Linked DNA regions of Neurospora crassa OR74A. The protein of the gene in region 4 binds, or shares a complex with, the protein of the main gene of each other region. Links are inferred from orthologs where the notes say so. Each region holds a gene or a part of one and is shown on either strand. Other genes may lie near its edges.

Region 1 (5,930 bases), on a different chromosome or scaffold from region 4:
TTGGATGGAGGAGGAATGAAAATCGCGAGGGAGAGGGAGGAGGGCGTCAAGTGGTTAAAAGAAACGAACGACAGAGCGACAGGAGCTGCCCCTGGTCCACGTTTGTGGTCCCACGGCGCCTGCAGGGGCACGCACACGCATGCGTTCAGGGACCGGCATGCCTTCCACACAGCGCAGTGCGACGTTGCCCGGGGCAGCGAAATGAGGGCCTGGCAGAAATGATCCCTGGCACCTGGAAGATTGGTCTGGACAGGTGAGCCGAGTGGGTCTTGCAGTCCCTGCCACTCGTCAGGGCGGTGATCGTCCCATCTCTCGTCCCTGAGTGGCCAGCAGCGACCCGCCGTCCACGACATCTGCTCAGGTACTTGATGCTTGTGATTGGCTGGCCCCTTTGCTATCCCCCGCCTACATAATTCGCCGGCAGTTCGGTGGAACAATGGAACCCTTCGACGACGCACAAAGGCGTAACGCTGACTTCCAGGTTTGTATTATGCAGCACCTTTGACCCACTGCAAGAATAGGTAGGTCACGTCCAGCTTGCCAAAGTCAAAGAAGCCATTGTTGTTTCGCTGACAATAGACTCGTCATCGTGACCCCATTCGTTGAGTTCCTTTCTCTTCGTTTTCACTCAAAGGGGCCCAAGACAGGACGCACGTGCATTGACTGGTGTTCTGGAGATTAGGTGAGCATGGGGGCGGGAAGGTTCCGTTGCTCTGGCGTCAAGGATAGCAGCGCTAGCCCTGTTTCTCGAAGCCTGGTCGCGGTCGGGTGGTCTGAAACGAGATGAACGGAAACGGGGGCAATGCCAACCAAAGAGCTTTGATCCCTAACACATGTCCGGATTAAGTGCCGCGAAATGTGTTAGCGAGCCCCCTTGGCTAATTCATGGTTCGTTCATCCACAGTTTGATTAAAAGTGTAATGCGAATTGGCGTTGGCGGGTCGTTCCTTGGTAGACTGGGCAACACAGCACTTCCCCATTGCCCCGTTTCTCCGTTCCATTGGACCCCGTGGGCTGGTCGGGCCACCAGCGCAGTAATTCTTCAATGAGTAAGCGCGCACCTCGAGGTTTTCACAGTGAAACGAGAAACAAACCGCGCCTGATGAAACTGTTTAGTTGACAAAGACATTGTGGTCACTGGATGACGACTTGCTCATGGTGGATCTCTGTTCAGTCATATCGATAGACTAGGCCAATTCGTGCTAGCCTGGGCCGGCTGTCTAGGGCTGCATCATGCGCCGACCGACGGCGCCTCCTAGTGTAGAGACTTGATGTTGAACAAGTCTCCCCAAAAACACCAAACGGAATCCTCTTGAACCTTGATCGATTCGCACCCCAGATAGGGAGCTCCAGGAGCATTGGCGAGCGTTCCAGACTTCTAGAACCGGATCACTCTTGGGTCCGAGATGATAGAAGATGACGACGCGCTCAACCGAGGCTTCCAAGAATACAAACCAATTGACATTTCGAACACCCAGCGCATCGCGGTACCCATGAGATGATCTTGGTGGCCGTTGTCCCGTATTCACTTAGCGAAGGGGGGAATGGAGGAATGCCGGTTTCCTCCTTGCTGTTGACAAGGGGTCACTGCCACTGCCACAGTGTGCCCCTGAGTAGAGGTAGCCTACCTACCTCTAGGTAGGCTACCTAGTAGTGATCACTCCTGAGTCCAGACTTCAGGCCCTCTCCTGCTCACAATGCACGATCAAGATCCCATCAACATTGCGCATTCGATTGATATCTTGCCATCAACTCACTGTACCGCTATGAGCTGGAGAGGTCAAATGGGGGCTGTCAAGATCACGTGGAGAGTAGATGGACGGGAACCTTCAATTCCATGTTCCGGGGCCATCACGTCCCGTCCTCTGTCTGCAGCTGCAAACAACTTGCCTACAAGTAGTGTAGAGGTATGCACAGACCACTTGCATGCATTTTCAGCTCCTGATGGAAGCGAAGCAGAACTTAAGCAGAAGCCCTGCGGATGGAACTCCCGTCCTGCCGAGTGAGGTGAGCGGTGGAGCCCGGCACGGCGACCCCGCGAACGTGAGACGCAGCGGATCTTGCCCCGCCCCGCCCAGCTAAACTTTTCCTGTCTTGCCATTGGAAACTTTCGGCCTGGCCCAACCACGTCCGTTTATTCCTAGCAAAAGGCGATTTCAAAGTCAACAACCGTCCACCAGAACCTGCTGTCGATTATTCAGACTGGTCGACCGGAAGCTCCGAATTCCCACTTTGCGCGATAACTTAGTCACTGAAACTGGGGCCCCGACACTTCCGCATTACGCAAGCCTTTCTCTCCTCCGACTCAACGTACCGAGAGCTTGCGCGTCGCTCGCGGCACGATATCGCATCGAATAATCTGTCCCATCGAGCCGAAACTGTACGCACTAACCACGATCTCCCAGATCGAGCTTGGCCGACCCGACTCGAAGAACGACTAGGGTACAACTACAAGCACAACCTGAGCTTGGTGGACACTAAGCAGGGGAAGCAAGAGCAAAAAATCTCGACTCAGGTCCGGCTCCCCAGACAGGCCCTCAGGGCGTTTGTTGTTGTTGATCCTTACTGGATACCGTACCCCAATCTCGACCTTTGGTGTACTCGCTACCTGCCCGGTAGAGAGATTAGCCCGAACCACGATACCCAGAGGAGTAGAGTGAAACGCTAGAACAACAGAACATAGAAAGAAACACCTGTCCACCCAGCTACACCGCTATGCCTCTCGATACTTCAGCATATAGCCTCGCGCTGTTGCGCGTCGACGGCCGCAGGTGGAACGAGCTGCGTCGCATCCATGCCCAGATCCGCACCCAGGCCGCCGCCGATGGCTCCAGTTACCTCGAGATGGGCCACACCAAGGTCATGTGTGTCGTTAACGGACCCAGCGAGCCCGGTCCTCGGAGGGGAGCCACGTCGGGCGGTGGTGGTGGCGGTGGTCAGTCCAAGAACGCCGAGGTTGCTGTAAACATTGTCATTGCCGGGTTTAGCTCGGTTGACCGTAAGCGAAGGGGGAGAGGTGATAAGTAAGTCAAAACACCCAGGGGTTGTTTCCCCCCCAGTGTCAACTACGGCTATTCGTCTGTCACTGTTCGCATAACTAACCCGTCATCCTTCCTTCTTCCATCATCACAGGCACATCCTCGAACTCCAATCGACGATATCTCAAGCCCTCGCTGCCAGCTTACACACCCACCTCTTCCCGCACTCCACCATCAACATCTCCCTGCACGTGCTCTCGCAAGACGGCTCTTTGCTGGCCGCCCTCATCAATGCCGCCACGCTCGCCTGCGTCGACGCCGGCATTCCCATGACAGACTACGTCGCGGCCTGCACGGCCGGCTCGACGTCTACATACGCGGCTAACGACGAGGGCGCCGACCCGCTGCTGGACATGAACCACCAGGAGGAGCAGGAGCTGCCCGGCCTGACGGTGGCCACATTGGGCGACAGCGACCGCGTGGCGGTGCTGGTCTGCGAGAGCAGAGTGCAGGTGAGTCGCCTGGAGGGCATGTTGGCCGTGGGCGTGGACGGGTGTAAGCAGGTGAGGGAGATCTTGGACAGGGTAGTGAGAGAGAAGGGGATAAAGATGATACAGGAGGGCACGGTCGAGAGAGGGGTTGGGTTGAATGACATGGAACTGGATTGAATGGACACTACTGAATCAATGGTTGGGCTCCGGGTCACAGAATCGGATATGGTACGGTAGGTAGCATTACAAAGGCTTGGAGCAAAAAAGAATAGGCAACATGACGAATTTGACGAATTTCACGACTATCAATGTAATCAAAAGTACAGCTCTTGGTCAGGTGAGCAACATGTCGTTTCTGTTAAACGTGCGCCAACTTTTGAAAGCGTTCTCCGAAACTGAAAGGTACCAAAAAACCTTCAACTTTTGACCAGCCATTCACTGACACAAGTCACAGCAAACTACGCTTTCACCAATCTCTCACAGCTCATCGTGACCACTGGCCGTCTTCGACTGGGCCTCAGGCGTCTCCCCCTCCTTTGAAGCAGCCTTCTCAGCCTTACCAGACTCTTTCTTTTCCTTCTTCTTCTCCTCCTCCTCCGTCGAAGAAGCCTCAACAACAATACCCTCCGGCAGCTTTTTCTTGGTGCCCTCGCTCAACCTAATCGCATCAATCCACGCCTCCACCTTGTCATGATCCGAGAAATCATCTCCCTCACCAACAGCGTCGTAGCGTCTCCACCATCCGCGACGGGCGTTGATGACGATGAGTTCAATGTCAGCATCCTCCTTGAGGCCAAGGGATTTGAGAAGGGACGCGCCGGCGGGGTTGGTGTCGAGGGGCACCTCGTAAAAGGGGAAGAGCTTGTGTTGGCCGAGGGCATATTTGAATTTTATTTCGGCGAGGTGGGTGAGGGCCTTTTGGGCTTTTTCGTTGGAAGAGGATACCAGCGCGAGAAGGCAGGTGCTGGATTTGGACGTGAGGCATTCCTTGACGAGCTTTTCGGGGGTGTTGAGGGAGGGGATGGGGAGGGCGGTGTGGATTATTACGGGAATCTCTTGGGTTGGGGCAGGGGTTTCGGAGGACGTTTCAGAGGAGGTTTCGGAGGAGGCGACCTTCTTGGAGTCTTGCTTTCCGTTTTTTTCACCACCGTTGGCCTTGCCGTTGGCCTTACCATTAGCCTTGCCATTAGCCTTGCCATTAGTCTTGCCATTAGTCTTGCCATTAGTCTTGCCGTTGGCCGGTGCTGGGTCCGGATTAGGCTGGGCCGCCTGGGAAAGGAACTCCACCATGGCGGCCTTGTTGATCTCGCCGTCGTACACAATACCAGGGGCATCACCGCCAGGCAACAAGATCAGAGTAGGGAGTTTGTCGACACCGAATGTGGATACCGCCTTGGACTGAGTGTTTCGCACCTGACCGACGGGCATGACACCGAGGAATTCAATGGCGACGCTCTTCAGCAAGGGGGAGGTGGTACCCTTGTCGGTGAAGAGGAGCGCTTTGGCTGTCTCGTTCTTGTCACTCAGGAACTTGTCGAGGTTCTTGTCCTCGACTTTCACGACGTGATTGTTGATGCGCGAGACCACAGCATCGACAATTGCGCTGGCGGTGCGCTGGCCTTGGTAGTCCTCCACTATGGGCTTGCCGTTCTTAGAAGGACGGATGATCTTCAAGGTCGGGAAGCCCTGCACGCCCATGCTGCCGCAAAAGGGCTTGTTGGCGTCCTCATCGCAGTTGACGGCGGCGACCTTGGCCAGGCCTTCGAGGTTCTTGGCAGCCTTTTCGTAGGCGGGCTTGAGGTTTTGGCAGTGGCCGCACCAGGGGGCGTAGAACTCAAGAATCTGCAAGGGAGAGAGGTCAGACACATACATGCATTATTACGATGGCTGATCTAAGATATAGTCGGTCTGGTACTTACAGACGTCTGGTTGCTCTTGGCAATCAATCTATCGTAATCCTTTCCGTCAACCTGCAAAACTGGGGACTTTTTGGTATAAAGGCCCGCCTGGGCTCCGGGGAGCGCAGACAGGATACCAACTGCCAGAGCACAGAGGGTGGAATGATGCATGGTACAGTCAGGAAGGCGACGCTTTTGTTTACTGGGTGACGGTGGTATGTATGTATGGGGGGATGATGATAGATGAGGTTTGTGGGGTTGGAGCTATAATGTCATGAATGTACAATAGCCGATACCAATACAAAGTGTAAGTGAGAACAAAGGAAGCTCTTCCGTATGGGCGTCCTAGGGATTCAGTCCCGTGTGAAAGATGGTGTCGTGTATTTGAAACCCAAGGAAGCAACAAACAGACACACCGATTGAGATGAAAGGAAAAGCTGTCATCTTCCCAGGTTCGGCAAAAGAACACATTTCAACTCAGAAGCTGTGAAAGCTGGCGCCACATACAAATGAAGTCAGAAGCGTCCAGAATCACCAGGGGAGGAGCTGCGGTCCGGGAGCGC
Region 2 (5,777 bases), on a different chromosome or scaffold from region 4:
TCTCACACCGGACGTGGTTGAGTGCCGCCGAAAGACGCTCCTCTTCGACTGGCGAGCGTCCACCTCCTCGGAAGCTGGTCAAAGACCCCAACGGCTCCGGCCGGCCGTCATTCTCCGTGGAGCTTTCGGATAGTGACGGGGAGAAGAAAAAGGGTGTCCTACGACGACAGCTTATCAGACTGAGGAGCTTCTACCGACGAGAGAAGTCAGAACCCTGAGGAGGACCGCTGATCTCCCTCAGCTTGCTGCTGACTTGCGAGTTTCATTTTAAAGTCATGATGTTGGCGCCAGGGAAAACGGATCACGACAACTTCAAACTTGTGGTTGGTTGTTCGGAGGATTTCCGTCTCTGGGGAGGAGAGTTACAGTAGGCGCATTTTGCTTGAAGACCCGCTCCGCCGACACCGACACCGACCCGCTTTTCCTTGGCAGCCACTACCATTCCTACGATCACAACTCTCATCGGTTATCGGTTCATGGAAGTCTTTTTGTGCCATGACTAATCGAACTAAACCTCAGCGGATGGACAAATCGACTTCCGAAACTTCCACAGAACACTTCCTTCAACGCGAAAAGTAGACTTTACGGTTTAATATCCTATCCTATCCTGAGGACGCTCTCTGAAGGCCACACATTCACGACCCTTTCTCATCCTTTGAGAGCTTCTAATTCCGAGGCAAACGACGAGCCCTTCCGGGTCAACTTTCAGCGGAGTCGGATCTCAAAACCACACTCTTGCAGCCCCATGATGACGGCCTGGGCGTCTAACCTCCGCCCTCAGGTCACTACATCTTGTCTCGTTCTCGGGGCAGTGGGTGTATCCTTGGGGTTGAGTGTCCGCATACTGATGAGCCAAAACTCGAGCAAGAAGCCAATGATAATCCCATCGCCAAGAGTCACCCACCTTCCACAGTTGTCCAAAGACGAAACCTCCTTACTTCCATACCCCCCAGATGCTCTGCCAGGTGCAAGGGACGTTGAGACCCCATATGGAATCATCAAGGTATTCGAATGGGGGCCTGAAGACGGCGAGAAGGTTCTTCTATTACACGGCATCAGCACACCATGTTTAAGCTTGGGAATCCTTGGAGAGGCGCTCGTGGAAAAAGGTTATAGAGTCATGCTGTTTGACTTTTTCGGGCGCGGGTATTCCGATACTCCAACAGACATCCCCTTTGACATCCGGCTTTACTCGACTCAGATCCTCCTGGCTTTGGCATCTTCAAAACTACCATGGACCGGCGACAACGGATTCCACATGATTGGTTATTCCCTAGGCGGAGGCATCGCCGTCTCGTTCGCCAGATACTACTCGCACATGATCCGGTCCTTGGTACTCGTGGCAAGCGCAGGACTGATCCGGTCAGAACACGTGAGCCGAAGGAGCAGGATCCTTTACTCCGAAGGCCTGCTTCCCGAGAGGCTGCTCCGGTGGCTCATACGCCGACGGATCACTCCCCAGTCAGCGACAACGACATCCGAAGCCAAAATGGCTAGCGAGGTCGTGACCGCCACCAGCAACAGTGAACAGTCCACCAAGAAGCATCACAAAAACAGCGACGCCAGCGGCGGGGACTCATTCGACAACGCGGTTCTCTTGCCGCACAGGCCCAATAGCACAGTTTCCTCGGTGATGGCCTGGCAGGTCCAGCACCAGCAGGGATTCCTCACGGCTTTTATGAGCAGCATTCGGCATGCGCCCATTTACGAACAGCGGAAGGATTGGCTAAAGCTCGGTCAGCTTTTGGCTGCCAGGCGAAAGACTTCTTCTCCTGGTGCCGATGAGGGAGCCGGGGCAGAACCGTTGCCGGGACTTTTGGGTGGAAAACTCTTGCTGATTCTTGGCTCAACGGATCCGGTCATTGTCAAGGAGGAACTGATACACGACGCCACGTCAGTGTTGGGAGAAGATGGATTCAAGGCTGTTGTAATGGATGGTGGTCATGAAATCGTTATGACGAAGGGAAAAGAGGTGGCGGGCTTGGCGGCAGGTTTTTGGTCACGGAATTAGATAACTTGGTCGCAAGGGAACAACCATTGTATATGATGATATGATACGTAGGATATATGAGTTTCTGGATGTGACTGAAGATTTTAAGAATTATAAATTGTCGTGTTTCATTGTGCGAGTAAAAACAGAAGTGGTTCGAGCTGATGCAGTGAAACGACCAAGGGGACTTACTGATTGTTGGATTCATGTCCGCGGGTTACACCTGCAGGAAGTAGAAGTGCCCTGAAAGACCACGCTAGGTTGCTAATTCAGCGGCTGTCAGGCGGTTTCTCAGCGCGCACTTGCTTTGCATGGATCCAGCTGCCCAAAGCAGCCTGGTACAGGGGGGTGTATTGGTCGATCCTCGCTGCCGTGCAACCACAAACCCCACCAAGGCTGATAGCCTTTCAGGTTGGAGGAAATTTCCCAAACAACCTCCTCCAAAACAAATCGCAGCCCTCACCAAACAACGCCACTTCAAGCTTTGTACAGCCAGTTTGCAACTCGACAACGGTCGAATCTGACATATAACAAATCTGAATCACATCAGGCACCATAACAACCACAAGTCACCAAACATCAGAAACCAAGCCGTCACAATGGCCGCTACAGTTCCAGCTCCCTCGCTGAGCTTCTCGCGACCAACCTTCGCCAAGCTCTCGCCTCACCCGTACCTTCTCACGAACCTCACCGACCCCGAAAACCCCTGCCGTACCAACGGCCGCGCCCCACACGAGGCTCGCCCCGTTCACATCCACACCTCCTCGCTCGCCCACGCCAACGGTAGCGCACTTGTCCGCACCGGCGACACCACGGTCGTCTGCGGCGTGCGCGCCGAGATCCTTCCCGTCACCAACATCCCCCAGTACCGGCCGCGGGAGCCCTCGTACGGCGAAGAAGACAATGACGACAGCGCCGATGTCGATGAGCTAAAGGACTACGACCTCCTGGTTCCCAACATCGAGCTAGCCACCGGCTGCGCGCCGCAGTTCCTCCCCGGCGTGCCACCCACGACGCTGGCGCAGACGCTCAGCACGCGCATCTACTCGCTTCTGCACAGCTGCAAGGTGGTGGATCCCAAGGGCCTGAGGGTGTGGTACACTCCGCCTAAGGAGACCAGGGAGGAGGGCGCGATGGAGGTGGATGAGGCACAGGAAGAGGAAGAAGAGGAGGAGGAAAGGAAACCGGAGCTCAAGGCTTACTGGGTCCTCTATATCGACCTACTGTTCGTCTCCTTCGACGGAAACCCCTTTGACGCAGCCTGGACAGCCGTCATGGCGGCGCTGCGCGACACGAAGCTGCCGCAGGCGCGGTGGGATCCGGATCGCGAGGCGGTGGTGTGCTCGCGGAGCGAGGAGGCAAAGATGGCGCTGGATGTGCGTGGACTGCCGGTTGCCTGCACTGCGACGGTGTTCTTAGAGAAGGAGCACGGAGAGGACTCGGGCTCCTCGGCAGAGAGGAAAAGCAGGCACTGGATCCTGCTGGATCCGGATAGGTTGGAGGAGAGCTTGTGCAAGGAGACGGTCACCGTGGTGGTGGACTGCAGTGGGGAAGAGACGAAGGTGAAGAGCATTGAGAAGCATGGCGGTACGGTGATTGGAAGAGAGCTGATGAGGGGGTTCATTGGTGTTGCTGAGGGGAGGTGGCAAGAGGTGAAGGAGGCGTCGAAGTAGAGTGTCGGTCTATGGCAGACAGGCATCTCAGGCTTGTCCTTTTCACGAGTTTTCACATGAACGAGCGTCGAAATGAGAAGAGCAATGTAACGGATTTGATACCCTAGGATGTACGGTTGGACAAATGCACGCTCAGAGTGGTCTCGATTATCACCATTGGTCTTGAAACAACTTATGATACCTCGATAGCCGGTTTGCCACCAACACGATGTTCTGCCAACATGATCATGAAGGCAGACCTACGCAAAGTTCTCAAAGGCAATGTCAGGGGCGGCAAGAAAGTGAAAACGACAACATCAGAACGAACGCGCCTGTTCAGCAGACCATGGGCAGCAAGGAAAGTGGAAGAGAGCATATCCAGGGCGGTCAGGACAGTGGGTTCAGGGCTCGGTTACCCTCTTTCCTGTTACTATCAAGGGAAGGGAATATCTCTTGACTGGATGCAGAAGGGCCATGGCTATTCCTTCCTTGAGATCCCAACCCTGAGGAAGGAACGGCACTCTAACAAAGTGAGTACCTCAATGGTCACTGCATTTCATGAAGTATCATGCAATTGTATCGCACCTTCCATTTTCCAAATGACGATACAGCCAGTGGTGAAAAATTTTACTCTTCTGATATTGAGCCCTTCGCCCTTCTCATCATCCTCTCTCCCCCATCCACGCCTTCGATTCACCCGTCTTGCAGCGTTTCGGAGGCTCACTCAAAGAAGCCAACTATTCCAGCATACCTCCAGTCCGTGCCTGCGCTTGAAAGCCCAGCTGCCGTTCACTTTCAAGTCACGCCGACTCACGCCACCGTCGGTTAATATGTCAGATCCCTCTCAGCCGGCCATGTCCCCTCTGGCTACCTTCCACCCGTTTCCAAGGCTACCCTGGGAATTACGCAATGAGATCTGGAAGCAGTCTATCCGCCCACTTGACCGCCCTGGAGCCCATATCTTTTGCTTGGACCTGCGGGGGCCGGAAGATGTTACAGCAAAGGAATGTGACATTCAATGCCCTCGTATTCTTTCAGTGCCTTTACATTATGAGCGTCCGTGTCCGCCTTTGGACATCGGCGAGAAATTCATTCACATTTCAGTCCCGGCAAAGACCTTATCGTCCGGACCCGACGGTAATCCCTCAACGTATATGGTCGATGGCGGACTTTGGACCGCCTGCAAGGAGTCACGGGCAGTGATGGAATATACGTTCAACCACCAGAAGTGGGATCCGATAAGGAAGGCATACCCAGCATACTGAAGGAGTCACGGGCAGTGATGGAATATACGTTCAACCACCAGAAGTGGGATCCGATAAGGAAGGCATACCCAGCATACTGGAAACTTTGGAAAGATACGCTCTTAGATCGTATGGACTTCGATATGCCTCCTCCCCCTCCTCGTTCACTTGGCAGTGACGACTCGCCTCCTTCTCCACCTCGACCTCCACGTTCGCCTCGCGAGAGGCCCCCCACGCCCGTTGACCCCTACAGCGCAGAGCGCTCATATCGACCGGTACCGGCAACGGCATTTTTCTGGTCATCACCTTCATTGCCCTGTCCGCCGTCCTCTAACGAGCTGGACAAAGCGGACCATTCCACAGGCCAGGCTCCAGCCTCCCCACGCTATGTCACTGTGCTTCCAATGCAGGATCTCATCATCATTCGGCCCTCGAGCTGGACCCCACATATTCATGAGGGTTACTGGCAGGCGTTTGAACACGGGTTTCCATTTGGGGCGGAGAAATATGGCTTTCCTGGATTCTGCGGATGGAATGGATTTGCCATTGAGTACGATCCAAGCTGGGGCGAAGAGCTGACAAAGGGCGCTACTTGGCGTAATGACTCTACGTGGCTTAATGATGGGTCCTTTAAGTTGCCTAACGGTACCGTTGGTATTATGGACATTATCTTCAATGCCGTTTCAAACTTTTCCGAGCATGAGCAGATCAAAACGATTTGGCTCATTGACTACCGACTCAAGCCTAAGCACAATACACCCGCAGCCATCGGAAGGCTGGACAGCAGCCAGAGGGTGTTTCATGGAGGTGATGGGTGCCAGTTTGTAGAAGTGTATCGCAAGTTTGTTGAAAGTGGCGGTCGTTATCTTGATGAGTATTACACCGAGGGCA
Region 3 (5,534 bases), on a different chromosome or scaffold from region 4:
AGGTTTGGAAGACTCTAAGCTGGTCTCAAAGCTGTGTTCAACCTCTGTCCAACACTAAACACAGTCTGGTTATCGACAGAGACCCAGACTGACGATCGTAACTACATCTCTCTTGTCCAGCAACAACACTCCCATCATGAGAGCATCATGGCACGAGCAATGCTGTTAAGTATTACGATATGTTATTTTGGAAAATCCAATATTTCTTTCTTTGAATTAATTACCTCAGTCTCATTCAAAAACAAACCAATACTGAAATCACCCACTCCAATGATATCGTGATCTAGTCACACTCGTGTTCACCCATTTTGCCTTATTTATGTAGCATACCTTCCTTCAGGAGAAGAAGAGATCACAGTGGGCAACATGCCAGACTCTAAAGGCGTTGTCCATGGAAAACGTAACCCTCAGTGCTTGTATGCTTTCCCCAAAAGAAAAGTTGATGAAATTGGAATAAATCGAATCGTCATTTGTTCGTAAAACCATTCATCTTCGTCCAGCTTGTCGTTTCGCCGTCCCGTCTCGCGGCGCAGTGGCGTGGTGATGGACTGGCTACTTTGGCCGAAGTAAAATGAGGATAACAGTAAACCGAGGTATAGCCAGCTGTCATCGTAGGAAGGGGGGAATAGACTACTTGGTGGCATGAAGTCTAGAGCAGGAGATAGGCGTGCTGAGAAATGCCGAGGGAGTGTACACATGGATGTTAGGAATCGTGATGTTTGCGCGACGGCGGTTCAGGGGTTACCTAGTGATGTATAGATATGTAGAAAACATGGGCACGGACATGAGCACTTTGCCGAAGAGAGAAGTGAAGAGAGGAGTGAAGAGAGGAGTGAAGAGAGAAGTGAAGAGAGAAGTGAAGAGAAGAGAAGACAAAGCACCAATACAGAAGTCTGTCTGGAAGCGAGCGGGTCAGCTGTACTAAACCAGAACACAGGTATAATAAAGCCAACCCGTGCATTCTCTACGAAGGTTTGTGACAACTACCTCAGGGCAAGGACTCACCAGCGAATGTGCAAACAGAGGCGACGAACATTTCCAAAAGAGAGTATCTTTGTAGTAATGTTTTGACTACGTTACCGTAGATTGTGAATATAGGTATGGATATATCTTGATCTAACCCAAACTCCGGTCTAGCGTAGACGCCGCTTGTGCCGAGAAGCCTTATCTCTACTCTATATTCTATCCCATGGTTTCCAAAACCTTCGTAAGCAAAACACCCTTCGCGAAGGGGACAGTTCGTAAAGCACAATGCTTAGAACTTGCCCTTGAGCAAGTTGCTAATCATCTCGCGGCCGGTGATGACGGAGGTGCGCCAGAGGGTAGGGAAATCGAGCGTGCTGCTGAGGGTATCGGCATAACCGAAGAACAGCATGGGAGGGATCCAGCCGCGCGCATACTCGAGCGCGAAGCAGCTCTCGGGCATCCTGTACTGCTTGACGGTACCGCGGACGAGGTGGTGAACGGAACCGGGAGGGTAGACCTCAGGCTCGTACTCGCCGGGGACGTAGGCAGTCTGAGTGCCGGTGAGGATGTGGAAGTAGTCGTCGGCGGTGTGGCGGCCGGTGTGACCCTCAGTACCGATGGCAGTGCCTGTTGTGTGGAGTGTGCTGTTAGTGATGGGTCTGAAGAAGCGGGAAGCACAAGCTTGCGAAACGCGTGCTGGAGGATGGGGCTTACCAAAGATAATCAGGTACTCGGTGATGGAGGCGTGGATGATGTACATAGCACCCATGGCACCACCAGCGTTGTTGAACACCCACTCCTCATCGTTGTTGACGTAGGGCGCAACGCCGTTGCGGTCGTTCAGCTCGTCGACAATGTACTTGACAATAGCCTTGGTGTCGTTGCCGTGGGCGCTGATGGCGCGCTTGGACAGATCGTGAAGGTGCTCAGTATCGAAGACGTAGAAGGACTCGAGACGCTGCTCCAGGACGTAGGCGATAGGCGCAACTAGGGCGAACAAGATGGCGAAGAACTTGAGCCAGCCACCGATACTGCAGCGGCAGCGGCAGCTGCAGCGGCAAGACGAACCGGAGGAAGAGCGGCCGGAGCTAGAGCCAGAGCCGGACGGCTTGTTGCCGCCGGAGGAGGACTGCTTCTTGGGAGGCATTGTGACGGTTTGTGATTGACGAGACGGCACAATGTCGAGGAGGAGAAACAGGGGAGAGAGAAGACGGGAATCTTGAATTATAAAGAAGCAAAACAATGGCCACAGAGATTCCACCACCGACAGGGGGGTCCGTCAGCCCAACCTCAACAAACCTACCCACGGCAACCCCTGATTTCCTTGTGGAGGACCCTTGTGGTTGCAACATGCCCGCCCAGGCGGGTGTTGCGACTTCCGACACGTTCGATTTTGAGAGCTTTGACCAATAAGGACGCTCAATTGCGCGGATAGCGTTAAACCGATTTCTTGAAGGAGCCACCGCTACGACCAATTGGAGGCAGACACACCGGCAGGCTGGAGTGCATCCAGAAGCTCCGTAAAGCTCCCCTCGCCGGCAGGGCAGCTCAAGTTGCCCGGCAGCACTGTCGGTGCAAAGCACTCAGCGCGGCACTAACAGCGCTCTTGGCACTGACAGGGGTTTCTATTTTTTCGGTGCCCCTCCGTCATTGAGTCCCGTCCGCGGGCCCGGTCAATCACATTTCAATATTCCATCGAATGGACATTTACCTCCACGTACCAGAAGCTCCAATCTCAGTTGTTATCGCCGCGGGGTCCGTTTTGTCGCATCGTTATCTTTTTTTTGTTTAGTTTCCCTCTGCGCGTCGCACCGCGTCTCATACTATACCACTTTTACCCATTCGCAAACTTTTGTCATCGATAGCTCCATCAACCTAGAACGACCGACACAATGGCGAGCACATCCTCTTCCCCTTCGATGGCCATCCCCGGCCAATTCCTAGGCCCTGTCTCCAAGTTCCAACCCGGTCCTGGAACCCATATCCACGAGTCGAACCTCTACTCTTCGCTGCTCGGCGTCGTCAACATCACACAGCCCGCCAAGGCGCCTGGCCCTGCTAAGCGCTTGAACAAGATCATCAACACCCAGACCACGCCCGCCGAGCTACCGACCATCTCGGTATTGCGTTCAGCGGGTTCGTCAGACAAGCGCGAGGTGCTTCCTGAAGTGGGCAACATCGTGCTATGCCGGGTGATTCGCATCATGCCGCGCCAAGCCGTTGTGGCCATTCTAATTTGCGGCGATACTGTTTTGGAGGCCGAGTGGCAGGGCCTGATCAGAGTGCAGGACGTGAGAGCAACAGAGAAGGACAGGGTAAAGATCTACGACAGCTTCAGGCCTGGAGATATTGTCAGGGCCGAGGTGGTGAGTGCTCTTCTCCTCTCCCTTTCTGCCAGACATGGACTGAACACTTCCGCTAACGTGCTGCCACCCACTAGATTTCTCTTGGTGACCAAGCCAGCTACTACCTGTCGACAGCGCGTAACGAGCTCGGTGTCATCATGGCGACAAGCGAGGCCGGTAACACCATGTACCCCGTCAACTGGAAGGAATACAAGGACCCTGAGACGGGGCTAAGCGAACCCAGAAAGGTTGCGAAGCCCTACTGAAGTCGGCGGATGGAGTTTCGAAATGAGACATGAAAAAGATGCTTGAAAAGCAATGCATAGCGGAGTTACTAGCTTGAGGTACAGCGTGTTATCAAGGCGATACGGGCGTTAATCTGCTCGGAGAGCTCGCCGAGTAGTGAAAGCAGGTGCTCAATCAGTACCCGGTTGGGGACTTGCAAATGCGGCGGCACGTCGAATGTCGAGCTCTCACGGTCCGCCGGTCCATCATCGACACGGTCGGCCACTCGCATCACAAGCAAGCATCCCAGCGACAAATCCAAGCCCAGAGATGTCCTGGCCCCAGAGTTTCCGGCGGATACTCCAGGTACGCCAAGTTAGACCGCGCAGAACATGGTCTTGGGTGATAGGGCTCGCACTCAGAGAAGTATGGAGATGGGTACATGTCACGATTCACTCTTGACACAGCGGAACAACACAGTCATGATACAGCGCCTGTTTCAGGGATAACGAAGACGATGGCGAGTTAGTATGATCTTGTCACGTCGAGGAAAGATATAGTGACGCCAGACACGGCTACGCCTGTCATTGCATCAAGAAACTGGATACCCGTTTAAAATCTGCATAGAAGATACCAATAGCCTTCTTCATACGTACCTTACTATTCCCTTGCATACCTAGGTACATACCTCATCTGTTGTCTGTGCCGTCATCCGCCGCCTGGGCCAAACGTTAACGAGTGCTGTTTCTTTAAGGCGGCTCAAGGGCGGCTTGGCGTCTCGTATACCCCCCACATGGGCCTTGCATCGTGCATGCGGTACCTACATACCGCTGAAGATCATCGGAACGGCGGGGGGGCGTAGAACGGGGGAGGGCGGTAGATTCCCGTACGTCACCGAAACCCTGCGTGCCTAGAGGTACCTAGACACATTCATTCCACCCATTTCTTGTCCTCCCTTTTACAGCTTTGTCATTCTTCAAAAAAGGAGGAGGCAGAGTGGGAGCTCTGGCGGCGTGTTGGTTAGCGATCTCACTCAGCGCCCCCCAGATACACAAAACAAAGTCTAAGACGAAAACAACAAGCTCCCTGCCCCTGTTTCAACGGGAACCAGTCCATCCCCACCGCAACGGCGTCTCCATCTAGTTTTCTTGTTCCTGGCAGGAGTCCACTTCGTTCCCGAGAAGAAAATATCGAGATCAGACGAACCGCTTCAATCCATCATCTTTGATTTTCGTCCAATCCGACAAGACGCGCGAACTCTCCTTGTCGATATCATCTGTCCTAACGGGGCCCTGGTGAGCCATGTCAACCACCGCCACCATGACGATGACCGCCGCCCCCGTCATCGTCGAACCGGTCACCCAAACGTTATCTACCGCTCCTTGCTGCCCACAATGCGGTATCGATCTCGAGGGGACCCAACCCTTCTTGGAGATGCAGGCGGCCGTTCTCGATGCCCACAACAAGATCCAAGAACTTCAAAGCCAAGTGCGCCTGCTCAACGAAAAGGCTTCATCCGCCGTCGATCGTTGGGCCGACTACGAAGACGAGATAGCCCAACTACGAGGGCAACTCAAACAGCAGCAGCAACAACAACAACAACAACAACAACAACAACAACAACAACAACAACAACAACAACAACAACAACAACAACAACAATCCCAGTCCTCCCCAGTTGCGTCCCAAATATCATCACCGCAACAACAGCAACAACACGCCGATGCAGCCCTCGCCACCCCTCCCCAATCCGCAACCCCCTCCACCACTGCAACAGCCAACGCCTCCCCCGCCGCCCCTCGCAGCGTCAGCTCCGTCTCCTCCTTCCTGCCCACCGGCGCCGCCTCCCGTCTCTCCGCCTTCTTGACCTCGCGCAAATCAACGCCCAACCTCAAATCCGCCCAATCTTCTACCGGCCCTGTTCCTCATATGCCAACGCACCAATCCACCCTCTCGCAATCGTTCACTCTAAGCAGCCCCCTTCAACAACCGTTCCAG
Region 4 (5,439 bases):
CCTTTTTCCGTAGATACCCAACACTGATTACCTTCTCAGTCCCACCTATCCCATGCATCCTGCCACTCGTCGTCCTCATAAAAGTCTGTCTCCTCCAACCCTCTGAGCACCTCCTCAATCTCCTTCGGATCCGTGATTGCCCAGACACCGGCGCCCTTGATGACGTCCTTCCCGCGCATGCCCACCTCCTTGCCCACCAGGTTCCGGCCCACGTACCCCGGCCCGATACCGACCCATCTCCTGACCTTCATGGACTGATCCAGATACTTGATGCTGTCCCACCACTGTACCGTCTCGACCGCCTGCCGAGCCAAAAGGTCCTTGAGCTGCTCCCTACTTTCAAACGGCCTGGCCGTCACGTTGCTAATGCACGTAACCTTGCCGGGAAACGTGATAATGTCCTCCTTTTCCCTCCCCTTGACCATGCTGTTTCCCGCCATCATCTGCTGCAGCACCCCGACGGCCGGCTTCATGATGGGACTGTGAAACGGACTGTCGCTCTTGAGCCTGACCGCGCGTGGGTCGTGTCCCAGGAACTGCCGCACGTGTTCCACCAGTGTCTTGATGCGCTCAATGCTTCCGCTGAGCACGATTTGCGTCTTGCTGTTGACGTTCGCAATGAGCACTTGGTCGATTGGGCACCATTCGTCGGCGCTCTCCACTTTCGAGCCGGCGCTGTCGTAGCCGACGAACTCGTGGATTGCGGCAATCAAGGGTGGCAGGTGCTCGGCCTTGCTACTGACGAGTGCCACCATGCCGTACTCTCCGCCATACATCTCCTCGGCCTGCCGCGTGGCATTGGACATGGCTTCCGCTCGCTTTTGCACCATTCGCAAACTATCTTCAAAATGGATATAGCCGCCTGCGACAAGCGCAGCGAATTCGCCAAGAGAGTGACCGAGAGTAAAGTGGGCATTGTCTTGGACTCTAAAGTTGAAATGCTTTTCGAGAATGCGGATGATCAATATCGAGGTAGCCATGATGGCTGGTTGTGCGTTGGGCGACAGGTTGAGGTCCTTGCCGGGCCCATTTTGTATCACGTCCGAGAGCTTGTGGCCCACTATCGAGTCAATTTCGTCGATGATTTCGGAAGTTGTCGAGGGAAAGGCTTCTAGCCAGGGCGTGAGCATGCCGACTCTTTGGACGCCTTGGCCTGTATATCTCATGGCTGTCAGCATCGTTCTCTGTTCAAAGCAGGACAGCGCACTACTACTACTACGAACCTGGAAAGAAGATGGCCGTCTTTGGCCGCGTGTCTGGTACCGGGAGATGTGTCGCATGTCCTCTACGCTGCCGTACCGCTACCGAGCGCGGTAATGGTGATATCCTGAGGGGTATTTTTGTGGTGACATTGTTGCATGTGAAAGGAGGAAGCGCAAGCGCAGGCCGACGAAGGGGCCCTCGCAAAGGCATATCGGTGTATATGGACCTGGAAACCTCGATTGGTGCCCGTCCCAGGCCGTCCGTCCGTTCGGTCCGTCCGATCTACCGCGTAGTGTAGTGAATCGGTTTCGGAATCTTGGTCTGGTTTCACTGACAGTCTTGGGATGATCCACCGCTATGGTTCCCGATATGTAGTCGATATCCGATCGGCGCCAATCCGAGTAGCACACGGTTATGTCGTAGTCTGGTGGAATCCGACGTCGTGGTAGATGACGTGAATCTCGAATTCAAACAAGTCAGGTATGTTTGACGGCGTGAACCCGCAGCAAGTAAACAATGGGAGCAAATCAAAGAGCAGGACGGACGGGACTACTAATGGCCGTTCAAAGGGATGCCAGCAACTGGTGGAAGAACACGGGATGATCGGCTTTCAACGGTAGCAACAGTAAGGGCCTCCCGGGCAAGTAGGGACGGGTGTATCCTGCAAGAAGTGGAAGCTCGAGAGTGCTGTGTAAGCAGGTACGGACACTGAATCGCGGTAGGTAGGGGCTTACGAGGGCGGTCGAGTCGGTCATCAATGGAAATCTCGCTCTCACTCAACAAACCGCCCTGGAAATCGACAACCGCGGCCGGGAGTGGATCACGCCAGCCAGCGCCCGGGTGGCCCGTTGTCCCGGGGTCTCGGCTTTGTGGAGAAGGTGGGTGGGGTAGTTCCGAACGTCGCAATCTGGATCCATGGCACCTCCAATCGTTGTCACTGGGGCAGGCACTTCACACCTATTCAACGATGACACCCGTCATTGCTGCAGCAGTAGTGTACCTACCTACCGAAGGACCTGACGTGCGACGTCGCCTGGGCTGCCACTGGTGCGGCTACAATACTGTTGGCTTTCAATTTGCAGTAGAAGTAGGTTTGAGGAGGAAAAGGTCCCAGATCCACTCATTGTAGTTACATAAGGTAGTGTAGTTGCTAGATAAAAACCTCAAGGACGCGGACGGGAGGAGGTAAGTACCTGCCCAGCACCTACACAGTACCTGAGTACCTACGTACTTTGCGTGGTGTACCTGCACTGCATGTGCCTCTATTTTGTGCCCGTGCACGACGACAGGCACAACAAAGGCCCCACCAACCGTGTAAAGTTCAATCGTCAATACCGTATCGATTTCAATATCAGAATTTCCAATACGCAAACATTTGAACGTCAACTCATCAACTCCAAAGGGAACTAAGCAACTGGAAGGCCCATACAACATCCTTTGAGGCCACAAGACGAATCGACACAAACAACAAACTTCTGCAGGTCAGGATAGTCACATAGTAGAACTTGAGATTCGAGAAGGTCGACAACGGAACCAGGAAGGAAGGATTCATTCGGACCTTCATCACACCAACAAACACTCAACGTTGAGATCGCCATTTCACACCATCCACAACCACACAACATGCCCATCACAATCCTCCCACCTAAAGCCTTCCGGGACCAACCACCCCGCCACAGCCTCAACCATGACTCCGACGACGTAATGTCCGACGCCACCTCCGACTCTGAAGACTCCGACTCCCAACCGGGCGGCGTCTCTCTCGACGGCGGCGCGACCATCCACCCTCGTAAGCGTCATCGCTCCGGCGCCGGCGCAGCCGCCTCCTCTACCTTCACCAAGCGCCCCAAGACCAACGCTGCCATCAACTCCATCCCGCGCTCCGCCATCGTCACCCCCGGCGAGCGCATCACCACGGACCCCCAATGGATGCGCGGCCACGGCACCTACCTCTCCTCGGCCTCTTTGGGTGAACAAGCCATCACCTCCTCGCTGGCCGGCATCGTGACGCGCACCAACAAGCTTCTTTCCGTCCGCCCTCTGCGCGCCCGCTACACGCCCGAGGTCGGCGACTTGGTAGTCGGCCGCATCGTCGAAGTTCAGGCAAAACGGTGGCGGGTCGACGTCGGGTCCACGCAGCTCGCTGCTTTGCCTCTTTCCGCCATCAACCTTCCTGGTGGCATTCTCCGCAAAAGAACGGAGACGGACGAGTTGCAGATCCGCACTTTCTTTGCCGAGGGGGATCTGGTGGTGGCCGAGGTGCAGCAGCTCTTCCAAGATGGTGGTGCGGTGCTGCACACGCGCTCGCTCAAGTACGGCAAGCTGAGGAACGGGGTGTTCATGGCTGTTTCTGGCACGGGCGGCGGTGGAGGCGTGGTCAGATCGCGCAGACAGGTGTGGACGCTGGAGAGTGCGAATAATGGCGGTCCGATTGATGTGATTTTGGGCGTCAATGGCTATGTCTGGATCTCAAAGCATGTGGAGCCTGTGGTTCCCGAGGAGGCGAAGGGCCAGACGGGCATTACGAACCTCGAAGAGGTGGTTAGTGCTACCATGTATTCGAGCCAGAATGACAGGATCGAGCCCGAGACAATGAGGGAAATTGCGAGGATTAGGGGCGTGGTAACGGCGCTGGTGGAGAATGGATTGCGGGTGGATGAGGATATGGTTACAAAGGGGTATAATGAGGCCGTGGAGCTGGCGTTGGTGAGCGCGGATGGGCCCGAGGATGTGTATTTGGGTGGTGAGAGAGGAGAGCAGCTTGCTGCTGCTTTGACGGCTGTCTAGGTCTAGTTCTAGCTGGGTCTAGGGGCTCGTGTAGTAATGCATTCGGGAACCCAAGAAGAAACAAAATGCTTCCCTATTTGATGGGGTCGCCAATCAGCTTTGAGCCGTTGAAGAGCTTCCATTTATGCAAAACACGACGCTGGTGGTGGCTTGTGAAGCCTCAAAGCCACTTTGATCACAAAATATGGCGGTATCCGGGGAAGTATATCACATAATAGCTTACAAGTCTGCATAGACCACTCGTAAGAGTACATGTAATCATCTTCAGAGCATCTACATGAAAACCAACATCCAACCGTCACCCCCATCACCTCTTCCCCTCCTTCATCTCCCTAACCCTAAACCTCTCCAACCCCACCGGTTCCTCCAGTACCGTCGACTCCCCCATCACAATCTCCGTTTTCTCCTTCGGCCCCGCATTCAACCTCACCAACGGTGATTCCAACGGCTTGCTAACCTCCTTGCCCTCCCAATGCCTCGCCTCCTTGGGCAGCGGCTGCCACCAACCCTCATCGGTCCTAGCATGCCACTGCCTGCTGCACAGCTCCCACAACCGGCTCGTCGCTCTTTTGTACGCAAACCGCTCGTCCTGGCCCGTGAACGCCGAGACGGTCTGGTTGAAGTCCACCTTGCGCGTCAGCGACACTTGCTGCTCCTTACCGAAATCCGAATCCTGGTCCGGGTCATACTCGGAAATGTTTGGACGAAAAGGGGCGATGGAGTCTTGGAACACTTCAGCAATGGTTTCGGAGTAGGTTGCGTCGCCTTCTACTACTGCTGCTGCTACCTGCTCGGTTCCATTGCCCGTGCTTTGTGTTGTTGTTGATGATGTGGTGACTGGTTTGACTGGACGCATCTCGGGAAAGAAGAGATCATCAGGCCCGACCTCGGCGCGGATGAGGAGCTTGCACTTGGATTCGTACAAGGCGTCGAGGAGGGTGATGAAACGGCGGGCTTCGTTCTTCATGGCCAGAGAGAGCACGGGGATCTTGTCGATGATGAAGGTGTGGAAAGTCGACGCCATGGTGAGGTAGTCGGCTGGGCCGTGGGAAGAGACCAGCTCGGAAAAATCCCAGTAGGTGACATCGTTGTGGTAGCGCGGGATGTGTACCTTGCGGCCGTAGACAATGAGGTCAGTTGGGGACCACTGTTGGCCGGTGGCATTTGAGCCGATGACTTGGTTGATGGCGGCTGTCCAGCTTTCTTCGGAGTCAGAGGGGAGGAAGTACATGGATGGTTTTTGAAGACCCTGCTCGATCATGGCCGCCTCTGAAGTTGTTGTTATTGATGGCTCTGTGCCGGGTGATAATGACCCAAAGGCGGGTTGAAAGGAGGCCGTCGCCCCTGAATCCGTCACCTTGTTCACCGCGCCTGTACCTGTTTCGCCCGTCTGGCTCTCCCGTCTCCTCCAGTCTCGGGTACCTTCCATGTGCCAAAAGTCGCATCGTG
Region 5 (5,602 bases), on a different chromosome or scaffold from region 4:
TGACAACCTGAGCCCCTTTGGTAGACACGGATCGGGGAGTTCTCCGGCATCGGAAGTGGTGTACAAGTCTGAGAGGCTTTGTACATACGCCTCCCGCGCCCGGTTGACGCCAAACCCTAGCCATGTCGTCGTAAACACCTTGTACTCAGCTGGCGATCCATCGAGTGTGCGTAATCGTAAGAGCTTCAAGTCGTTTGCATGTTTTTGGGCTTCTGTTGAATTAGGTGCAAATGCGATTTGCGCTGATGCGCCTCCCATGTCCAAGAACCCATATGTGTGATGATCCTGTCCATGCGCATGTTGCTCTGGATGATCAAAACCCCCAAGAAGATAGTTAGACGCAATCCACCCATACAATCCCTCCGTTTCGCCTGGAATGACCTGAATATGTAGGTCGCAATCCGGAAGTGAGAAGTTCGTATTCTTGCGCAGGTATGTGCAGACAGCGCCGGTTATAGCATTTTGTTGGACCTGGGGAAGAAGTCGCATGCCAGCCGTGGCCATTAAGAAAATAGGGGTGTCGTGGATCTTGTCCGCGGGTATGATGTCGAGCGCATGGTCGATGAGTTCCTTCAGATAATCTTGGCCGACTACCCCAGCCTTCTCCCCAAATGTCGATATTCCAGGTCTAATCTTCTTTGTCCACTTCTTTTTCGTCGTGATCTTGGGCAGACTGCGCAACTCCTCGGGCGTCGCATCTACAAGCGCCTTCTCGGGATCCTTCCAACGATATATGTGTAGCCGTGTCCCCGAGGACCCGGCGTCCAAGATAACACCCCATCGCCCTGTCATTGCTTCAGTGTCGCGATCTTGGAAGACCTGAGGGGGTTGCGGGTGGACGTACAGTTCTTGTCTTTCCCCATCGAGAAGAGATTAGAAGTAGTCGATAAAGCGGATAATGACTAATGCGAAATCAAGTCGGACAAGGCACAGCTGTCTCGGTTCGGCGAGGATTGCTCAAGTTGTCGTCGGTAATGGCGTAATAGGGGAATTAATGTTGTATGGACGACCGCATCGGAATTATGGCATCAACAACCTGGAACTGTTGCGGAATCGCAGTGGAGACGGAACGAATTGATCGACGGTACAAGCAAGGCTGGAAGGAGGAATTACCGGCCGCAAAACGAATGGACAAAACACTATGGAATAATTAAAAGTGTACAGTGTGGTAGGTAGGTAGGTAGGTAGGTAGGTAGGCAGCCGGGACCGTCGGAAGAAACGAGAGTAGGGGTGGTTTTGGGAAAAGTGAAATGACCAGGTGCGAAGCGAGAGAAAACTCGCCCGAAAGCTGGGTGAGGTGAGATTTTGGAGGATGACGGGAAAGATTGGATTGTCAGGTCGTTTTACAATTCCCGCCTGAGTGGACAATGTGGGCCGAACTGGGAAATGTCTGTAGTTTTTTGGAGGGACCGTGGGGGGGCAGATAAGGAGAAGTTCAGGGGAAAGAGGGGCCCGGGACCACGCCACGCCGGGGGGCGCCCCGTCGCTGAACGCGGCCGGCACTGTGCCAATATGTGAGTGGTGGTACCACGTCCGCCTTCGGATGCAGTGACTTCAGTTCCATTGGGTTTCCTTGGTGGCGTTCGTAATGCTGAAAGTTACGGACCAGAACGCCGGTAATAACGCAACGTTACTCGATCTTTGTGCAGATTATGTAGTTGATCATGTTATGTTACCTCCACCTCGAAATGTTGATAAAGATACGAGCTATTCACCACAGTCCCCTTCAGATAAAGTGATTAGATCGTGCCGGACACGAAAAGAAAGTAGTTCAGGTGTAGTGTATGTATGCCCTACGCAGTAATAGTGAAACCTCGGTTCATGATCAGCCACCACCTTTGGCCATGTCTGCCCTGCTTCGAACATGCCGTGCTGCTATGAACGAAACGATACGCGTAATCTCCCCACATCATGTTTCCAATTTCAGAAACAGACGATCATTGAGGCGAAGAACGTGGAAGCTTCTCATACCCCGCGGTTCATAATGTTTCGGCAGTCAACCTCAGAGGGTAGCTCTGCATACCAGCCACAACGCTTCTTGGACGTCATTCGTCCATCACACTGCGATCTTCCAGCTGAGTTTCAGCAAAAGAGCGCTCGCTCAACCTGTCAGACCTTGACAGGCATCTCGAAACTATTCCCGCCGGAAGTTGACCATTCCATTCTTGCAGTCAGCCGCCGAACCTCGGAACGCAGTTCTGTTGTCGCTGCTATCGATTGGCATCTTCCGTTACTTCTGCCCTACATATGGGCTATTGCGAAAGACCAAGTGGCTGGTAGCTCGACCTATTGCATCAGAAGCTGGTCTTCGGGTCGATAAATCGACCAAAATCGTAGAGGTACTCAAAGACCATGAACCGTCAGACCATAGAATTCCATGCGTTTTTCCCGTTGATGGACTTACAGGTTTCAATACGAGTATTTCCCATTCGCGCATAGCTAAAACAAATAATACATTGCCGCGCCGACCTCATGATCACCCAACGGTCTCGTTCAGGCAGTCCACGAGCACGCGGTTGGCGCTCTTGGAAGCCTGAATGCCCTTTTCAATCAGCTGCGTATAAACGTCCATATCGGACGCAGGTAGGTCACCCTTGAACCAGAGGTTGGTGACCTCTTGTCGTGTGGGAAGATATGCGATGCAGCACGCTGCAAGAACCTTCTCATGCTCAGAAGGAATCGGGTCGACAACTATGCTGGGAGCAGCGTCATTACCTGCGTCCTGTACCAACGCAGCAACACCTCCGGCCACAGTGTCGACGCAGTCAATGCCAGCGTCAGCAAGTGCAGCCGAGGCAACGGTGATGCAGCCACTCAAGGCATTCATGGTGTCCCAGGCCTCAATACCCTGGGCCTTGGAGGTCTCCCGATCTTGCTCTCCTTCAACAATGGAGATGATGATATCCACTCCACTCTTTGGCCAACGGTCAGCAATGATAGATCCCCGAAGAGCCGTCTCAAGGTGAGTGCCGAGATCTCTCTCGATCGGGTCACGAATGTAACCACGCCTTTGCTTGGTCGCAAAGGGTGCAAACTTGACATGGGTGGACAAGATGATGTGAGGAGAAAAAGGTGTTGACCTGGGCAAAGCTCTAGGTCCATGAACGCTGCAACTGAGCTTCAAGCCAGAGCCGCCGTTTCCAGACGACTCGATCTCTAGGTAAGCAGAGCCAGAGGCCGACGGTGTCACTCCCGTCTTGAGATCTAAACGTGAGGTTAGTCTGTGTCTGCGAAACAGGAGGGTTTGTCCTCGACGTGCTTACACATTTTGCGAATTACGTTCGCCGGGCGTGACCTTGTGACCTTGAAACCTTCGGATTGCTTCTCGGGTGCATCGTCATAGATGGGAGGGTTGGTAGTCCCAACCGGTCCGTTAATACGTCTTCTGTCGGCCATTTTGAAGCCAAGATACGAGGGCCGGAGATATGGTGGGCTTGGTGATTGCTGTGTTGTTTCCGATGCCCTTCTCTGGTCGAAGAATCCTGAGATAGGTGAAGAGGAAGAGACCTCGTCTGTGTATGGCTTTCCTTGTTTCACGGTTGGTAACTTCTGTTGGTACCTCTGTTGACTGTTGAAAACAAGACGTGAGAGTCGCCGTCTACACTGCAGTGGGTCCACTCTCAAATTCAAGTAGTTGTGGCGCAACCTCACATTCACTGTCGATTTTGATCAGTCAGCCACATGCCCCACCCAGAATTCCATGTCAAAGCCACCGATGGAGGAATTTTTTGCGCAGCTACAAAACTCTGCCGCCTTCAGTTCCAACCTCATCTTGAACTCTTCCACCAACCCACACCGTTCGCAACGGCAGGAACGGCTTGCGATTGTCGGCATTGGATCAATGCCTTCATTTGATATGGCCACTGTCTTTGGGGAGCAGCCATGATACCATGGTCTTACCGTGCTCATGGTCGCTTTGGTTGGGCAGCCTTCTGCGCTGGCGCAGCAATGGCATGGTCATGTCAACTGTCCAGGCATGCTCTTGGTTATTCTGCGATGGCGAACCCCATTGCTAGAGAGCATGTCCTGGCTGTCTGACATGGCCGACGTTGGTTCGCACGGATAGAGTAAGTTTATTTCCCCTTGCCTTTCACATCTCATGATGATCCCATAACCACAGTTCTCGCGATAATCTCTGAGCGATCGAACAAACATGCACTACCATCTGACTACTCCTTCAACACATCCTTCACTTGCAACTCATTTGGAGGAACCGTTGACTGACAATCAATAGTACAGACAAAGTTGTTATTGTCACCGTTGCTGTTCCACTCCGTTTTCTCAGTCTCTACCCACTAGGTAAGCATCACATTGTTTTCCTTTCTGTTTTCTTTCCCCCACCTGACATCATCACCCACCCGATTGTCCATGATGAAACAAAATATTTTCAGTTCTGCTTCTGAATAATAATGAGCGATAACCAATTATACCAAAACCTTCTGATATGGCAATCACCCCAACTCTTTCTTGCAACGACAGCCCTCACCACACATGCTGCGAGCAAGTTGGCTAACAAACTTCAAGTTATATAGGATCTGAAAACGATCTTGCGTCTAGTGGGAGAGTCGACATGCCCATCTGGTAGGTACTTTGCCTTTTTTTTTTTTCCTTTGTCCCATGCACAATGATGACAACAGTCTATCCATTCAACGATATGTACGGGCCGAGCCATCCATCCGCACTGGAGCGTCTTTCGGGGCGTGAGGACTAGTTGTGGTGTCTCCCTTCGGGGTGTCATTTGGCTTCCGTTGTCCGAGTCTCCTGCGCACCGTTTTGGGGCGTGGGAGGCTTGGGCCGGCTTTGTAGGGCTGAGTTAAAACGGCTTGTCTGATCTGTGTCGTCTTCGCCTTCTGCTCGATGCCGATTCGCGTATGACCTTGAACTGACCGGTCAGTAGTTGATGGCGTGAACGTTTCATACGTTTTGTTGCAACGCATCTTTGACGAGGTAAGGTTTGTGTTCATGACTCGACAACTCAATGACCCCAGTAAAATTGGATGTAGTTGAGGATCGACGGTGTGCCTGTCCTTGACATTTACATAGGGCTTCAAGATATCAGCAAGGATAGAACAATGAAAACAAGAGTTGCAAAATAGTTGATTATCTCCAATCAGACCCAAGATATTGCCCTTGATGATGTGCAGGAGAAGTCCAAACCCAGTAGAACGAATGACCGGACACTTGCCGCGACGTAAGCCCGGTTTCCCTTCAAATCATCTGTGTCTCGAGGTTGAACATCAAATAAATTGAAGACACACCCTGATGTACCCATCTGTATTGCACACAGATGATAACTACGGCACAGACTCGACGGTACTTGCATTGCCACTGTTTCAGGTCGACTTTGCCGTCAATTCTGGAGCCTTGTCCTTGGCGACTTTAAATCCTGTACACTGCACTAGAACCCCTGAAACCAAGGCGTCAAGTCTGGGGTCATTTGTGGGTGGGTGCAAAATGCGCTACAATTGGCAGGACCCCGTCGAACGGCCGGGCCACTTTGCGACGCCATTGGTAAAGAAATCCATCCCAACCCGCCAATCTTATCTGGACTGGTACTTAGTACGTGTATCGATCCGTCAAGCTGCCCACAGCCCGGTGCGAA

The links.
Region 1: NCU04009 (region 4) and NCU00812 share a complex: the UniProt entries of both Schizosaccharomyces pombe proteins name them as parts of the RNA exosome complex. The link is inferred for Neurospora crassa OR74A from reciprocal best matches to the Schizosaccharomyces pombe genes rrp4 and rrp41.
Region 2: NCU04009 (region 4) and NCU03159 share a complex: the UniProt entries of both Schizosaccharomyces pombe proteins name them as parts of the RNA exosome complex. The link is inferred for Neurospora crassa OR74A from reciprocal best matches to the Schizosaccharomyces pombe genes rrp4 and rrp43.
Region 3: NCU04009 (region 4) and NCU04155 share a complex: the UniProt entries of both Schizosaccharomyces pombe proteins name them as parts of the RNA exosome complex. The link is inferred for Neurospora crassa OR74A from reciprocal best matches to the Schizosaccharomyces pombe genes rrp4 and csl4.
Region 5: NCU04009 (region 4) and NCU08026 share a complex: the UniProt entries of both Schizosaccharomyces pombe proteins name them as parts of the RNA exosome complex. The link is inferred for Neurospora crassa OR74A from reciprocal best matches to the Schizosaccharomyces pombe genes rrp4 and mtr3.

Annotation. Positions count from the first base shown.
Region 1 is NC_026501.1:7,076,102-7,082,031, reverse strand, and holds NCU00812 (exosome complex exonuclease RRP41), read left to right. Parts: upstream 1-2,108; 5' UTR 2,109-2,715; coding exon 2,716-3,023; intron 3,024-3,132; coding exon 3,133-3,646; 3' UTR 3,647-3,946; downstream 3,947-5,930. Other genes in the region: NCU00813 (disulfide isomerase), read right to left, coding at 3,947-5,311, 5,389-5,538. UniProt on the Schizosaccharomyces pombe protein: Non-catalytic component of the RNA exosome complex which has 3'->5' exoribonuclease activity and participates in a multitude of cellular RNA processing and degradation events.
Region 2 is NC_026501.1:4,750,939-4,756,715, forward strand, and holds NCU03159 (3' exoribonuclease), read left to right. Parts: upstream 1-2,392; 5' UTR 2,393-2,589; coding exon 2,590-3,663; 3' UTR 3,664-4,233; downstream 4,234-5,777. Other genes in the region: NCU03157 (hypothetical protein), read left to right, coding at 1-218; NCU03158 (alpha/beta hydrolase), read left to right, coding at 746-2,011; NCU03160 (hypothetical protein), read left to right, coding at 4,473-4,889, 4,970-5,777. UniProt on the Schizosaccharomyces pombe protein: Non-catalytic component of the RNA exosome complex which has 3'->5' exoribonuclease activity and participates in a multitude of cellular RNA processing and degradation events.
Region 3 is NC_026505.1:5,017,780-5,023,313, reverse strand, and holds NCU04155 (exosome component 1), read left to right. Parts: upstream 1-2,553; 5' UTR 2,554-2,858; coding exon 2,859-3,332; intron 3,333-3,406; coding exon 3,407-3,577; 3' UTR 3,578-4,208; downstream 4,209-5,534. Other genes in the region: C-8 sterol isomerase erg-1, read right to left, coding at 1,256-1,593, 1,681-2,113; NCU04154 (hypothetical protein), read left to right, coding at 4,839-5,534. UniProt on the Schizosaccharomyces pombe protein: Non-catalytic component of the RNA exosome complex which has 3'->5' exoribonuclease activity and participates in a multitude of cellular RNA processing and degradation events.
Region 4 is NC_026506.1:2,431,766-2,437,204, reverse strand, and holds NCU04009 (exosome complex exonuclease Rrp4), read left to right. Parts: upstream 1-2,543; 5' UTR 2,544-2,826; coding exon 2,827-3,990; 3' UTR 3,991-4,292; downstream 4,293-5,439. Other genes in the region: NCU04010 (malonyl CoA-acyl carrier protein transacylase), read right to left, coding at 36-1,153, 1,224-1,413; NCU04008 (mitochondrial ATPase), read right to left, coding at 4,298-5,439. UniProt on the Schizosaccharomyces pombe protein: Non-catalytic component of the RNA exosome complex which has 3'->5' exoribonuclease activity and participates in a multitude of cellular RNA processing and degradation events.
Region 5 is NC_026504.1:3,956,135-3,961,736, reverse strand, and holds NCU08026 (3' exoribonuclease), read right to left. Parts: upstream 3,590-5,602; 5' UTR 3,397-3,589; coding exon 3,264-3,396; intron 3,205-3,263; coding exon 2,477-3,204; 3' UTR 2,405-2,476; intron 2,343-2,404; 3' UTR 1,645-2,342; downstream 1-1,644. Other genes in the region: NCU08027 (nucleoside diphosphatase), read right to left, coding at 1-785, 845-863. UniProt on the Schizosaccharomyces pombe protein: Non-catalytic component of the RNA exosome complex which has 3'->5' exoribonuclease activity and participates in a multitude of cellular RNA processing and degradation events.